Lepisosteus oculatus: one gene and its partner. The protein of the gene in region 1 interacts with the protein of each later gene in a pairwise test. Links are inferred from orthologs where the notes say so. Each region holds a gene or a part of one and is shown on either strand. Other genes may lie near its edges.

Region 1 (7,555 bases):
TTTAAAGAAATCTTTTCACTGTTTTGTCTTCCTTGTGTGTTCATGGAAACAAACGTATTCAAAGGTTTAATGTGCTTTAGATTTAACAACATTAAGTATTTGGCAGAAATCCTGAAGGCATCCAAACTGGTATTAAACATTGCAGAGGTAAGTTCAACTCATGCCTTTATATACTATCTTTCACCAGACAATACCAACATGCTATACAAGTGGCACAGCCTTACGTCCATGATCATTTTAACTGAAAAAAGCATACTGTTAATGAAATCAAAGTCTGACACCCAAAATACTAAATAAAGAGAGCAAACAAAGCTTTATTAGAAATCTTTAAACGATAATTTGATTCTAACCATGCAAAATACTTTGTCCTGTATGGTTAGAATATAGCAAAAAGAAGCACATTTGTCTTATGTCAAACAATCACACAGAGTAACGTGAATTTTTTTACAGCAAACCCGTTTTGTATTCCACCATGACATGGGGCTCCCCCATGACTTCACTTTGTGCTGGATCTGCGAATAAAAAAAACACCAAGTTGAAATAAAAGCCGTTGGAGAGTGATTCTCAATATCAATCTAAGCCCAGCTGTCCACACACAATGGTCCCCTGTGTACCCCTGGTGGTTTCTGTTTACAGAAAAAAGGAAACATTGCCTGGAGTAAAATGGGGGTTCAGCTTCCAGGAACTGTTAATGTTTAATGACCCAACGCCATCCTTCAAACTGCTGTAGGGAGTTCTGAATACTTACCGTTCAATATGTCCTCAAAACCAACGTACTCGTCATTTCCTCTGAGAGTATCTAGTGCAATGTTTGAACTCTGAAGGAAGGGCAAACGCTGTATCTGGAAAAGCACAGCATGCAGGATATTGTTATGGGTACAATAGATACAAACAGCTTTTGAAAGTGTGACAGAAAAAAAAGCATAATGTCATTTATCACTAATCTCCACTTGACTTCAAAGGATGACATTTTGCAAAGGCAGATTCTGATGTTCACCTTTAGTATGGTTATTAACTTAACCAAGTGAATTTTGGACTGAGCTTCTTAAACATATGTGTTCTAAAACATACCCCCCTTCAAGACAGCTGGTGAGAGGGTACCTGTTTTGCTGCCTTGTACTCCATCTGCAGTTTCAGAGGTGCATGAAGTCCCTGAATGTTCCTGAGCGTGGCAAAGTTCATCTTGTCTTGATTGAGCTGAAACTAGCAGAAACGAAGCAGCGATGTTAAATGCAATGTCTGACATAGTAGCACTTCATAGAGCTGTAGTTTATTACAACATGACAACCCGAAAGACACGGGAACTATGGCTATTTTAGGAAAAGCACCAAGGGCTAAATCAGGATTGTAAAGCTGACAAAATATGATTATATATATTTTATATTATCGGTCTGCCATCCACTTTAAGAATCAACTTCAGTAAAATGGTGCTTAAATGTAAAACTTCTCGGTTACCAGTGCACATACCAGCTGAAACACTTACGTTCTTCTCGGAGAGCTCCAGGGGGTGGGAGGGCAGGAGTTCGTTCTTCACGCTGGAGAAGCTGAAAGCCAGTGACAAGGACAGAAAACTTCAGACTCTATCAAAATCTATTTGCTAAAAACACCGTTGCAACTTCTAGTTTATTCATACATGTTATGGCCTAGCTCTGTAATGACGTAATCCAATTAATTAAAGTTCCTCCTCAAAAATAAATGAAGTACTGATTCTACGCCATAAGAAACAGCTCACATTTTTATCCTGTAAAGCTGCAGTCACAATTAACGACTCGTGGGGCAGTCAACAGGCTCTTTCTTCAGACCATGATGGGATGGGTTTCATTTTAAAAAGAACAAGCAAGAATGTTTTTCCCGTTCATGAAGAAGTCAAATCCAGCGATGGGAAGGAAGGGACATGTCGGTCTGAGTCTGAGAGAGGAACCACGAAGATCCAGACCGCGAGTGAGATACGGAGCGGTCACTCACCCCTTGCGCAGTGTGTCAGGTACGCCATAGGTTCCCGACTGCGGACACAGCCCTGTGACGGGGATGCTGTCCTTCAGCTGTGATCGAAGACCTCTAGTATTCTGAAATACAGCAGTGCCCCCATGAGCAGCGCTTGGCAGGGACTGTCAAAGAACTGTGGGGCAGCTTAGTCTACTGTCCCACAACACGACATCGCCCGTTAAAAGATCAACCGCAGACTGACCTTGATCACAATGGTTCTCAAATGGAGAATCTCAGAGACCGCTCAGGTGTGTAAGCAATGCATTTCACCCCAAATCCAATTATTAATAAATCCTTGAATTTATATACCTGTCCAGAACTCTCCCAGTGTGAAAGCCTGTGATGTGACAGTAATGATGAACAATGACCCTATTCATCCCATGTACTTGTTGTGTAGGAATGAGAGGACTCAGTTCACCCGCCCGGGTGATGGACAGTAACCTCACCACTCCAGAGCGACCCCAGGGTTAAAGTGACTCCTGCAGGGAGTCAAGATCACCGACAGGATTTGGGCATTTTACCGCGACAGTCGGATAACCAGTGTCCCAAGAGCAATGATACTGCAAATCAGGACCAGAGCACTTTCAGTTTCGCGTCGCTCCGTGTATTCACAAAGTACGCTTGATTGTCACGTTGGTAACCAACAAATCTTTAAGACTGATGAGTAGATACCACATTAGTGCCTGTTAATTCAGCAACGCACGGGAATAAACAAGGCCCGAGACATATTTTGACGTGAACAACTGAACTCGCGGAGAGCAGTGACTAATCAAAACTCAGCTAAATGAACCTCTTGTACAATCACGTCAGCTTCAGTGTAACGCTGACAAAATCCGTTAAAAGTATCTTGGCTTAAGAGCAACATGTAAATCACACGTTCCCTATAACAAGAGATTTTTAAATAAAAACTCATCTCACCATACTGATCCGGCGGCTTCTTTCTTCCTAATGACCCCACACCGAGTACTTCCGGCTCACCGGTACCCCTCACACGTGACAAATGACGATGCTTCCGCTGATGGCAGCTCTGAAAAGTCCGAAACGAAGATAGAAATCTTCATCTATCAGCTTAGAAACAATTAAGTTTAACTTTGCTTTCATTAAGTACTTGCGGGCAACACATAGTTCTAATATTACAATTTTTAAAATTACATTAGAAAACGGCGATACACACAGTTGATTTGTATAGGCCATCGGCAGGCGTTTCGCAGACAGGGGGTATAGCTCAGTGGTAGAGCATTTGACTGCAGATCAAGAGGTCCCCGGTTCAAATCCGGGTGCCCCCTCTTTTTTTTGTGTAAAATTCAAAAACACCATCTTTTTACATTATTATTATTATTATTATTATTAAAATAGAAGGGATCATAATTGAAGTGCTTTTTTGGTTTTACATGAACCTGTATAAACACAACTGTGTACTGTCAATCCAGTTTTTTATTCTAGTTTAGGACGACACCCATATAATACTAGCACTGACTCATACATTTGACACATCTCAGCATCCAGCACAGAGCACAGGGGTGTTCCCAGTTCTTACTCATTCTGGAGGTGCCAGGGAGCAGGCTGCAGACTGCTGATGCCTTGATGTACGTCTAGTTTACTGAGAAACAGACCCTAGAGTCAGCCGGCCTCAGTGAAACAGAGGATCCACAGACATAAGACACAAAAAAGCTCCACATACAGCTTTATTAGGAATCAGCATGGAAAATGACAGTGTCTTGGGGCAACGCGTGTAAAATATTGAGAATTCAAACATGGGGGAAAATAATTTTCATTTAAAACAGGGACAGGTCATATGAACGTGTACTACATTTTCAGACCTTCGTTACCATTGATATATCTTGTTGAAAATAGTACCCTGAAGGAACAGATTAATCACGTTAAATATTTACCCTGATGAAGAGCCAGAGCCCTTCAGTTTTCACCATCAGAACACCATCAGTTTTCTGGCACGAACCGAAACATGAGTAAGCAGGGGAAAGCTGTCATGGCCTCCTAACGGGAGAGCGCTGTACTTCGGTGCACACTGGACACTCCACTCCTGTCTGTCTAAAGTGGCAGCTGCTTTATCTGTCTGCTGTGGGAGCCGTGCTCTGCCATGCTAGCCCTGGAGAGCAGGGGGGTGCTGTAAGACTGGTACTGGCTGGAGACGTGACAGGTGAGGGCGCTGCAGTCGGCGGCTGCCTGACTGCCCTCCCGGGAGAACCGCGTGAACTCGCACTGGTCGTGCTGGGAGACGACGAGCCTCGAACCTGTAACAGAGACAGGCCACCGTGTCAAAGCGCTGGCAGCAGAAAGGGCTGTAACACAGCATAACATAGCAACTCCCACGCAGTCCTGCACGGAAAATGTCTTTTGCTTAGAACTCCATGTGGTTTCAACTACAAAGCAGAGCTTTCTCACCGCAGCTCTGACAAGTGATTTATTTAAAGTATTTCTTTTGAATTTGACAGGGGTGGCAAATCGTAGTGGGTTACCCCCCGGACTCAGCCCCTGCCCCAGATAGAGGTTCTTTACCCCGGCTGCTTCAGTCCAACTCAATTTATTATGTATTATTCAGTCCAACATGTATTATGTGGGGAGCAGCATGCAGGACGCTCCCTGTGATGGACTGGCATCCCCTGCAAGGGGAGTCACATGCTCGCTAGTCTGCTTAATGCTGCAGAAACCAGGATGAACTTTATCCCGAGGAGCTGATGTGTCTCTGGGATGGACTTTAATTTTAACTACAGTACTTATACAGAGTACTAGACACTGAATTCAGTCTGCAGTCTGCTTTCTTCTCATTGTATCACATCAGTTTTCTAAAGTTCTAAATCTTCAGTTTTCTAAATTAATTAAAACTATAAATTGTTGTTATAGAAAGAAAGTGTTTGAGTTCAATATTTGGTCTTCAAACATTAAAAAATTATGACTTGAAAAGAACAGAAATAGTTTTGAACGAGAAGAAACTGAACTCCCAAATGATAGCTTTCCAAAGTCTTGTGTTTGTAAAACACAATAATGGTCAAATGATCATACAACAATCATATAAAAATAATATATACATATAATATATTATATAAAAATAATGTTTAACAACTAGTTTCCAGCATGGGAGACAACCACCAGTGTAGTAATCCTTCCAAATGTTTAATCACAAAAAGGAGAAAGACAAGTAATTACAAATCTGGTAAACTTTATTCTACACTATCTAAAACTCAGAAGTATGTTATCAGGAATGTGTGTTTTTCATGTCTATCATTGTGTGTGTCAGTGCACACGGGTATTTTTCTCCAGTAATCTTCTTCATCATAAGTTCTCTTTTTTACCTTTATAGGACTCTGAAAAACCACTCATTGCTGTTTCCTTCCATCCATTCATGTACCTGAAATACAGAAAAGAAGACTAAACTAAGAGCAAAGTTTTTCCCATGGGTCTCATTAATTTAGTACAACACTTCCATTGCATTTATAAATACTGTACATTCTACTGCTGCTTTTCAGCAGGTATTCCAAAACATGTGGTCCATGTTTAACTCTAAGTGTTCAAAAGAGCAAGACGTTTCTACTGAAAGTCGATTGTGTGTATATGACAGAGAAAGAAAAGGAGACAGAGATGTAGAGAGAAAGGCAAAGGTGGTTCGCATAGAGCATGTTTGAAATATATATAATAGATTTATATCATAATATAATTATATTTAATCAAGCGACGCAGGAGTGCTGTTTGATATGCTTCAAATCCGTACAGCAAGAGAGTTTCTTGTGTTCAAATTGGGAAAAGGGGTGGGACTTGGAACTGACTTGATTTGATATATTCATGTAATTGCAGCACTAAACTGGCATTTTGACTGACATGTACCAGGACCTTCTGTGGCAGCACACGAGGGCAGGACACTTGACAATACGGCTGACCTGACCGCCAGGGAGGCGGGCCTGTGCGTCTGCACGGCGGCGACTCACTCTTCGAAGTTGAGGGAGTTGGTCCACTCCAGCAGCTCGTCCACTTCCCACTCCAGCACGTGGCTGGGCCCCAGCTGATCCACCGCCGCCATCATGCCCTCTGCGGCCTTGTCCACGAGCAGAGCCGCGTCAGGGTCCTCTGTGCGGGCCTGCAGGAGGCCGTCTTCATACCTGGGCAGTGCACACAGATGCCACTCATCAGCCAGCAGCGCCTTCTGCTAATGCAGGGCAATTTCTCAAACCTCTAGAATGTTTATGTGGAGCCACGGCAAGGTTTACTCCTGGCACCTGGGGAGTAATAAAACTCACCCCCTGAATTTGACCTAGTCAATAATAAACTCACATCTTTTTCATCCAGTCAATTTTCCTCTGCTTCCTCCTTCTCCCTACTTCCTGGCGCCTCTGGATCCTGGAGTAATGGAATTCCGTTTTCTTCGCGGCAGAGTCCAGTGTTACGGGGTCGCCCATTAACCAAATCTTATAACAGCAACGGACAGAAACACAAGAGCAGCGTATCACACCTTCGTGAAAAAGGAAATAAGTTACATAACGCAACTTCATTTTTGAACAAAGAAACAAGCAAAAAACCAAAATCGATCGAAGGGATTAATAAGTGGTCGGAACTTCACAGAAAAAAAGGGGTTATTCCTTTGCAAGTGTATACAATAATAGGACCTGCTCTGAGTATTTCCAGATTCTGTTATTCTTGTTTTTGCCGAGAATGTCATGTCCCATGCAGTGGACAAATATGTGCCTGGATCTATACAAAGTGCAAATTCAGTAATCACACTAATGAGGACCATGATGTAGCGCACTCTAGCAGACTAATACGAAGAGAAGAGGGGGTCTTGAGTTCAGGGATGAATTTTGGCCCCTTGGGTGTGGTTTACATGTCCGCCAGGTGCTCTGGTCTCTGAACGGCCCGTGAGCGGGCGCGTGGCCGGGTGGACGCAGGCGCAGGGGGAGAGCGCCCCCCGCAGGCCTGGCTCAGCAGTGCGGCCCCGCGGGAGGGCCCCGCCGCACCTTGCCCGAGAGGAGCCTCCAGCCGTTGTTCTCCTCCCGCCGGTACCAGCCCGAGCGGTCCTCCTGCCCCGCAGCCCGCCCGCGGTTGTGGATTTGCCCCGGCAGGGGCCGCCTGGCTGCGGGGCAGGTGTAGTCCTTGGGGCTGTTGGCGCACATGTCCACTATCGGGCGGTGCGTGAATATCTTGTAGTAGATGCTTGGAGGAAATTTTGTCTGAAAAGGGGGGTAAAAAACGAATCCTGAACACAAAAGAACAGCAACCCCACGTTTTGCATTCATCTGAAAGTGTGAGGGGTCGAACTGTTAGAGGTCACAGTGAAACCTTGCCACAAATAAAGACTAAAGCAAACATTTTATTTTTATAGACAAGGAGTTCTAAGTGTGCTGTTATAATGGCCAGAAACTGGTCAGAAACTGGCCAGCAGCCATATCACCCTGCAACTCACCACTGGCAGCTCACAGGAGCTCAGCAGTGTGAGCCTGGCCAGTACCTGGATGGGAGACTCCTGGGAAAGCTAAGGTTGCTGCTAGAAGAGGTGTTAGTGGGGCCAGAAGGGGGCGCTCACCCTGCAGTCTGTGTGGGTCCTAATGCCCCAGTATAGTGA
Region 2 (7,567 bases), on another chromosome or scaffold:
CAATTCAGTTCAATTCAAGGTGCTTTATTAGCATGACCGATGGGTACAATCAGTGTTGCCAAAGCAAATAAAAATAATAAAATTAACATAGAACAAAACAAAAAATAGAAGTAAAATAAAATCTACAGACATGTTACAGACATTTACAACAAAGACATATTATAAAATATTGACATATACTGTAGGCGGCTGGAGCATTATTGGGAGACAGACTCACTGGTCCTCAGGCTGTGACAGGAGATCACATACTGGGCTGCCAGATCAACTGAGTTCCCTCCTCCCTCTCCCAGTAGGATTGGGACCTGTTGTGGTTTTGGCAGGGGTGGGAACTCTGGGATTAGATTTCTGAATTTCAGGAAGAATGTTTCTCTAATCCCAGAGTATCTGTCCCAGTGCAGTAGGAAGTGCACCTCTGTCTCTATCTCTCCCCGCTGGCAGTGGGAGCACAGCCTGTCCTCTCTGGGCAGCCAGGTCTGCCTGTGTCCAGTGTCTGTGTCCAGGCTGTGGTCACTGAGCCTGTCCTCTCTGGGCAGCCAGGTCTGCCTGTATCCAGTGTCTGTGTCCAGGCTGTGGTCACTGAGCCTGTCCTCTCTGGGCAGCCAGGTCTGCCTGTGTCCAGTGTGTGTGTCCAGGCTGTGGTCACTGAGCCTGTCCTCTCTGGGCAGCCAGGTTTGCCTGTATCCAGTTTCTATGGCCAGGTTGTGGTCACTGAGCCTGTACTTCGTCGGGGTCTGTTTCTGTTTGTTGTTTTTTATTTTGGTCAAATATTCAGCTAGTGTGTATTGTCTGTTTAAGGTTCTGTAGCATTCCAGTTTATGTTGTGTTTGTGTGTGTGTGTCCCAGTGTGTGAGATATTGCTGTTTGATCTGTGCTGTGATGTGGTTGAGTCTGAGCTGTGGTGCTCTAGCAGTGCTGTCCTGAGGCTGGTTGTGTGTTGTGTGTATTGTGCTGTGATGGGCTTGAGTCTGGGTTGTGGTGCTCTAGCAGTGCTGTCCTGAGGCTGGTTGTGTGTTGTGTGTATTGTGCTGTGATGTGGTTGAGTCTGGGTTGTGGTGCTCTAGCAGTGCTGTCCTGAGGCTGGTTGTGTGTTGTGTGTATTGTGCTGTGATGTGGTTGAGTCTGGGTTGTGGTGCTCTAGCAGTGCTGTCCTGAGGCTGGTTGTGTGTTGTGTGTATTGTGCTGTGATGGGCTTGAGTCTGGGTTGTGGTGCTCTAGCAGTGCTGTCCTGAGGCTGGTTGTGTGTATTGTGCTGTGATGGGCTTGAGTCTGGGTTGTGGTGCTCTAGCAGTGCTGTCCTGAGGCTGGTTGTGTGTATTGTGCTGTGATGGGCTTGAGTCTGGGTTGTGGTGCTCTAGCAGTGCTGTCTTGAGGCTGGTTTTGTGTTGTGTGTATTGTGCTGTGATGGGCTTGAGTCTGGGTTGTGGTGCTCTAGCAGTGCTGTCCTGAGGCTGGTTGTGTGTTGTGTGTATTGTGCTGTGATGGGCTTGAGTCTGGGTTGTGGTGCTCTAGCAGTGCTGTCCTGAGGCTGGTTGTGTGTTGTGTGTATTGTGCTGTGATGGGCTTGAGTCTGGGTTGTGGTGCTCTAGCAGTGCTGTCCTGAGGCTGGTTGTGTGTTGTGTGTATTGTGCTGTGATGGGCTTGAGTCTGGGTTGTGGTGCTCTAGCAGTGCTGTCCTGAGGCTGGTTGTGAGTTGTGTGTATTGTGCTGTGATGTGGTGAGTCTGGGTTGTGGTGCTCTAGCAGTGCTGTCCTGAGGCTGGTTAGTGTCGGTGTGGCTCAGGTCAGTGAGCCTCAGGACCAGCTGGCTCAGGGGGCTCTGTTTTGGGCTCAGCTCTTGGCTCAGCAGGGCTTTGTGGTGGTAGGAATTTTGGTCGCTGTTTTTTAGGTGTAGCCAATACTTTAATACTCTTTTCTGTATGTTTATCAATAGTGGGTACTGGCCTAATTCGGCCCTGCACCCGTTGTTAGGAGTTTTTCTCTGCACACGGAGGATGATTCTACAGATCTCCATGTGCAGAGTTTCTGTGGGGTGTTTGTCCCATTGGGTGTACTCCTGGTCTGTGAGGGGACCCCACACTTCACTGCCGTACAGGGCAATGGGTGAGAGTGATGCAGTTGTACTGGTATGAGCAGAGACTCGGTGCTCTTGAGTGACAGGGCTGAAGCACTCAGCAGTGTCAACAGCCAGCAGAGCAGTCAGTCATCAGCGGTGTTATCAGCTGCTGATCTGTGCGATCAGCCCCCGGGAGTTTAATGTGTTTTTCTGGGGGGAAAAGCCTCATTAACACCGCTGGAGCGCATGCGCTGCCCGCGTGTCCCCGGTCTCGCCCCACACCGCACGTGGAAGCCGGACCCCAGACCCCCACGGGTGCGGGAACACGCGTGTTTCACCTGGACACGGGTCCGAACCGAGAGGCGCGCTCGGGGCCGCGGGTTCCGTCCCGGCACCCGGGGGAGGGCCAGCCCGGTTCGGCGGCTCGGCGGTTCGGCTGCGACTCACGTCCACTCCCAGCGGCACCGCGAACTCCTGCCGCTCGGTTCCGAAGCTGTAGTGGCTGGTCCGGTCCAAGGCAGCCCGGCCGGTTCCGGAGAGCTGCTCTCCGAGTCCGGCTCGGAAGTTGTAGCCGCAGACGTCGGTTAAAGCCATAGTTCGGGTGTACGGACGGTTCGGGACGGGCGGTTCGGGTAATATCGATCCGGTATCGATCAGCTTGATCGAGCGGCGAGGATACGGGACGGCCGACTGCCTGAGAGGGGAGCGAGCTCGTGTCTCCGAGCAGCTTCCTGGATCTGAACCGAAACCGAAAGCGGTTCGGGGGCGGAACCCTTTGGTTTCGGTTTCCACTGCAGAGCGGGGGCCGAGGCCGAGACTGGCGGGCCCCGTGCTCCGCTCGGAACCGGCGGTCCAGCTCCCGGTCCGGGGCGGGAGCGGGCCGTGTCCGGCGGAGGCCGCTGGACAGCGGCGGGCTCCGGGTCCGGGGTCCAGTCTCCGGGCTCCGGCGCTGTCCGCCAGGGGGCGCAGCGGGCGGCCGCAGGGAAATCAGAGCGGGCGGCCCCGCCCCCCCGGGGCCGGCGGGCCAATGGGGAGAGCGAGCAGCGCCACGTCACCGCCTGCCAGGCAGAACCGTGCGGGACAGGTTACTGGGACAGGAAACACCGGCAGGGGGTGCTGGGACACCTTACTGGGAAAGGAAACACCGACAGGGTACTGGGACAGCTTACAGGACCGGTTGACCCTGACAGGGTACTGGGACAGGTTACAGAGGCACAGTAACCTCGTGACACAGTGACTCTACACACAGAGTAACACAGTAATACCACACACGGAGTAACACAGTCAGACACAGTGACTCCACACACAGAGTAACACAGTAATACCACACACGGAGTAACACAGTCAGACACAGTGACTCCACACACAGAGTAACACAGTCAGACACAGTGACTCCACACACAGAGTAACGCAGTAATACCACACACGGAGTAACGCAGTCAGACACAGTGACTCCACACACGGAGTAACGCAGTCAGACACAGTGACTCCACACACAGAGTAACACAGTAATACTACACACAGACTAACACAGTCAGACACAGTGACTCCACACACAGAGTAACACAGTCAGACACAGCGACTCCACACAGAGTAATACAGTAATACTACACACAGAGTAACGCAGTCAGACACAGTGACTCTACACACAGAGTAACGCAGTCAGACACAGTGACTCCACACACAGAGTAACGCAGTCAGACACAGCGACTCCACACAGAGTAACACAGTAATACTACACACAGAGTAACGCAGTCAGACACAGTGACTCTACACACAGAGTAACGCATTCAGACACAGTGACTCCACACACGGAGTAACACAGTCAGACACAGTGACTCCACACACAGAGTAACACAGTCAGACACAGTGACTCCACACAGAGTAACGCAGTCAGACACAGTGACTCCACACACAGAGTAACACAGTAATACTACACACAGAGTAACACAGTCAGACACAGTGACTCCACACAAAGAGTAACGCAGTCAGACACAGTGACTCCACACACAGAGTAACGCATCAGACACAGTGATTCCACACACAGAGTAACACAGTAATACTACACACAGAGTAACACAGTCAGACACAGTGACTCCACACACAGAGTAACGCAGTCAGGCACAGTGACTCTACACACAGAGTAACACAGCTGGGGGTAGTTCAGAACTGAGTCTTTATTAACCAGGAATCACAGGTATACAGTAAACAGTGGTTCATTCTGAAGACACACAAATACAACAGTGTCGCCCTGCTCTGCTCACAGACACACCCCAGGGCTGTTTCACACACACGTCTGGAGAGTGACTGTGTAACCTGTTCTGTTGTGTCGCTGTGGAAGTCCCGTGCTGTTGTGCGATTGTGACACTGTTCTGCTGCTGTGTTGCTGGGTTGTCGTGTTGCTCAGTGTGTGTCCATGAGCTGCACTGTCTCCTGGACCAGCTCCATCTCCAGAGGAGAAACTGTCTCACGGAGAACCGGAGTCGTCCCAGGACAGTACTTATACTTCCTCTGTCTGAGAGAGAGAGACGGGTTAATACACTCCAGTACACTGACACTGCACTGAGAGAGAGAGGGGTTCATACACACACACTGACTGGACACTCCAGTACATGAACACTGCACTGAGAGAGAGAGGGGTTCACACAGACACACTGACTGGACACTCCAGTACATGAACACTGCACTGAGAGAGAGAGGGGTTCATACACACACACTGACTGGACACTCCAGTACATGAACACTGCACTGAGAGAGAGAGGGGTTCATACAGACACACTGACTGGACACTCCAGTACATTAACACTCACTGAGAGAGAGAGGGGTTCATACAGACACACTGACTGGACACTCCAGTACATGAACACTGCACTGAGAGAGAGAGGGGTTCACACAGACACACTGACTGGACACTCCAGTACATGAACACTGCACTGAGAGAGAGAGGGGTTCATACACACACCCTGACTGGACACTCCAGTACATGAACACTGCACTGAGAGAGAGAGGGGTTCATACAGACACACTGACTGGACACTCCAGTACATGAACACTGCACTGAGAGAGAGAGGGGTTCATACACACACACTGACTGGACACTCCAGTACATGAACACTGCACTGAGAGAGAGAGGGGTTCATACAGACACACTGACTGGACACTCCAGTACATGAACACTGCACTGAGAGAGAGAGGGGTTCATACACACACACTGACTGGACACTCCAGTACATGAACACTGCACTGAGAGAGAGAGGGGTTCATACACACACACTGACTGGACACTCCAGTACATGAACACTGCACTGAGAGAGAGAGGGGTTCATACAGACACACTGACTGGACACTCCAGTACATGAACACTGCACTGAGAGAGAGAGGGGTTCATACACACACACTGACTGGACACTCCAGTACATGAACACTGCACTGAGAGAGAGAGGGGTTCACACAGACACACTGAGAGAGAGAGGGGTTCACACAGACACACTGAGAGAGAGAGGGGTTCATACAGACACTGCTCTGAGCCAGTACCTGGTGTCCTTGTACTGGGACTCCTCGTAGGGCCGCAGGTACTCCACTCCTGCCCGGGTGATGACACACAGGTCGATGTTGCTGCCCGAGCCCAGGTCACTCATGACCCCTGCGTGGACGGCGTCTCTGACCAGGCGCTTGGCATCGTCCAGCTGCAGAGAGCAGCAGTCTTACTGACGGCCGACACGTCTGACCTCCATCTGCATCTGATCTCACTGGGCTGTACTGGGCTGTACTGGGTTTTTACCCTGATCTCACTGGGCTGTTCTGCGCTGTACATTGTTTTTACCCTGATTTCTCCGGGCTGTACTGTGTTTTTACCCTGATCTCACTGGGCTCTACTGCACTGTACTGTGTTTTTACCCTGCTCTCACTGGGCTTTACTGCGCTGGACTGTGTTTTTACTCTGATCTCACTGAGCTGGACTGTGTTTTTACCCTGCTCTCACTGGGCTGGACTGTAGGCTGGGGGTGGACTCGTCCTCAAACTCACCTCCATGTCGGTCCTGAAGCCGTCCTCCAGCACCCCCATCGCGGGCAGGTCCCCCGAGCCTGTGGACAGCACCGAGCGGTCAGTCGGCCTGGGGCGGTCAGTCAGTCAGTCAGTCAGGAGCGGTCAGTCAGTCTGGGGCAGGCAGTCAGTCAGTCAGTCAGTCAGTCAGTCAGGAGCGGTCAGTCAGTCTGGGGTGGTCAGTCAGTCAGACTGGGGCGGTCAGTCAGTCGGTCAGGAGTGGTCAGTCTATCAGAAGCGGTCAGTTCTCCCTGTCACCCTCTGGGCCTCGTTCATCACTGCAGCACAGCTGAGTCCGAGTCAGGAGGAGTCCTGCAGGTACGCACACACACACACACACGCACGCACACAGAGCCGGCTGACCGGATGCTCACCCATGGCCTTGAAGGGCATGTTGTCGACACTCCCGTACGGCCCCACTGTGTACAGGTGAGCTCCAGTGACGTCCACTCCGCCCAGCAGCAGGTACGCCCCGATCTGACCGCGGTACCTGGACACACAGACACACCCTGACTCAGATCGTCCACCCTGAGTCACCCTGGGCTTCACACACACACACACACTGACCTGAAGAGCATGTCCTGCAGGATGCTGGTGGCCATGACCACCCTGGGGTTCACACACACACACACACACTGACCTGAAGAGCATGTCCTGCAGGATGCTGGTGGCCATGACCACCCTGGGGTTCACACACACACACACACACACACTGACCTGAAGAGCATGTCCTGCAGGATGCTGGTGGCCATGACCACCCTGGGGTTCACACACACACACACACACACACACTGACCTGAAGAGCATGTCCTGCAGGATGCTGGTGGCCATGACGACCCTGGGCTTCACACACACACACTCACACACACACACACACTGACCTGAAGAGCATGTCCTGCAGGATGCTGGTGGCCATGACGACTCTGGGCTTCACACACACACACACTCACACACACACACACACACACTGACCTGAAGAGCATGTCCTGCAGGATGCTGGTGGCCATGACCACCCTGGGGTTCACACACACACACACACACACACACTGACCTGAAGAGCATGTCCTGCAGGATGCTGGTGGCCATGACCACCCTGGGGTTCACACACACACACACACACATGAACACACACACAAACACACACACACACACACTGACCTGAAGAGCATGTCCTGCAGGATGCTGGTGGCCATGACCACCCTGGGGTTCACACACACACACACACACACACACTGACCTGAAGAGCATGTCCTGCAGGATGCTGGTGGCCATGACGACCCTGGGGTTCACACACACACACACACACACACACACTGACCTGAAGAGCATGTCCTGCAGGATGCTGGTGGCCATGACGACCCTGGGGTTGCGCCCGCTGTTCAGGGAGAAGATGGACAGGTTGGAGGACAGCAGCTCGGTGGTCTTCTCGGTGTCTGCCGCCGTCCCGGCGCCGCAGCAGCTGGACACAGAC

The links. The genes of interacting proteins can lie anywhere in the genome.
Region 2: the proteins of pomp (region 1) and psmb8a interact in a two-hybrid assay, tested with the Homo sapiens proteins (2 studies listed by BioGRID). The link is inferred for Lepisosteus oculatus from reciprocal best matches to the Homo sapiens genes POMP and PSMB8.

Annotation. Positions count from the first base shown.
Region 1 is NC_090700.1:1,688,829-1,696,383, forward strand, and holds pomp (proteasome maturation protein), read right to left. Parts: upstream 3,013-7,555; 5' UTR 2,908-3,012; coding exon 2,905-2,907; intron 2,067-2,904; coding exon 1,966-2,066; intron 1,545-1,965; coding exon 1,484-1,544; intron 1,204-1,483; coding exon 1,102-1,203; intron 843-1,101; coding exon 749-842; intron 513-748; coding exon 445-512; 3' UTR 288-444; downstream 1-287. Other genes in the region: c5h11orf65 (protein MFI), read right to left, coding at 4,036-4,238, 5,298-5,353, 5,928-6,098, 6,271-6,404, 6,951-7,163. UniProt on the Homo sapiens protein: Molecular chaperone essential for the assembly of standard proteasomes and immunoproteasomes. Degraded after completion of proteasome maturation. Mediates the association of 20S preproteasome with the endoplasmic reticulum.
Region 2 is NC_090709.1:38,622,688-38,630,254, forward strand, and holds the start of psmb8a (proteasome subunit beta type-8), read right to left. Parts: upstream 3,010-7,567; 5' UTR 2,647-3,009; coding exon 2,500-2,646; intron 1-2,499. Other genes in the region: psmb13a (proteasome 20S subunit beta 13a), read right to left, coding at 4,456-4,567, 5,587-5,738, 6,079-6,137, 6,471-6,586, 7,415-7,555. UniProt on the Homo sapiens protein: The proteasome is a multicatalytic proteinase complex which is characterized by its ability to cleave peptides with Arg, Phe, Tyr, Leu, and Glu adjacent to the leaving group at neutral or slightly basic pH.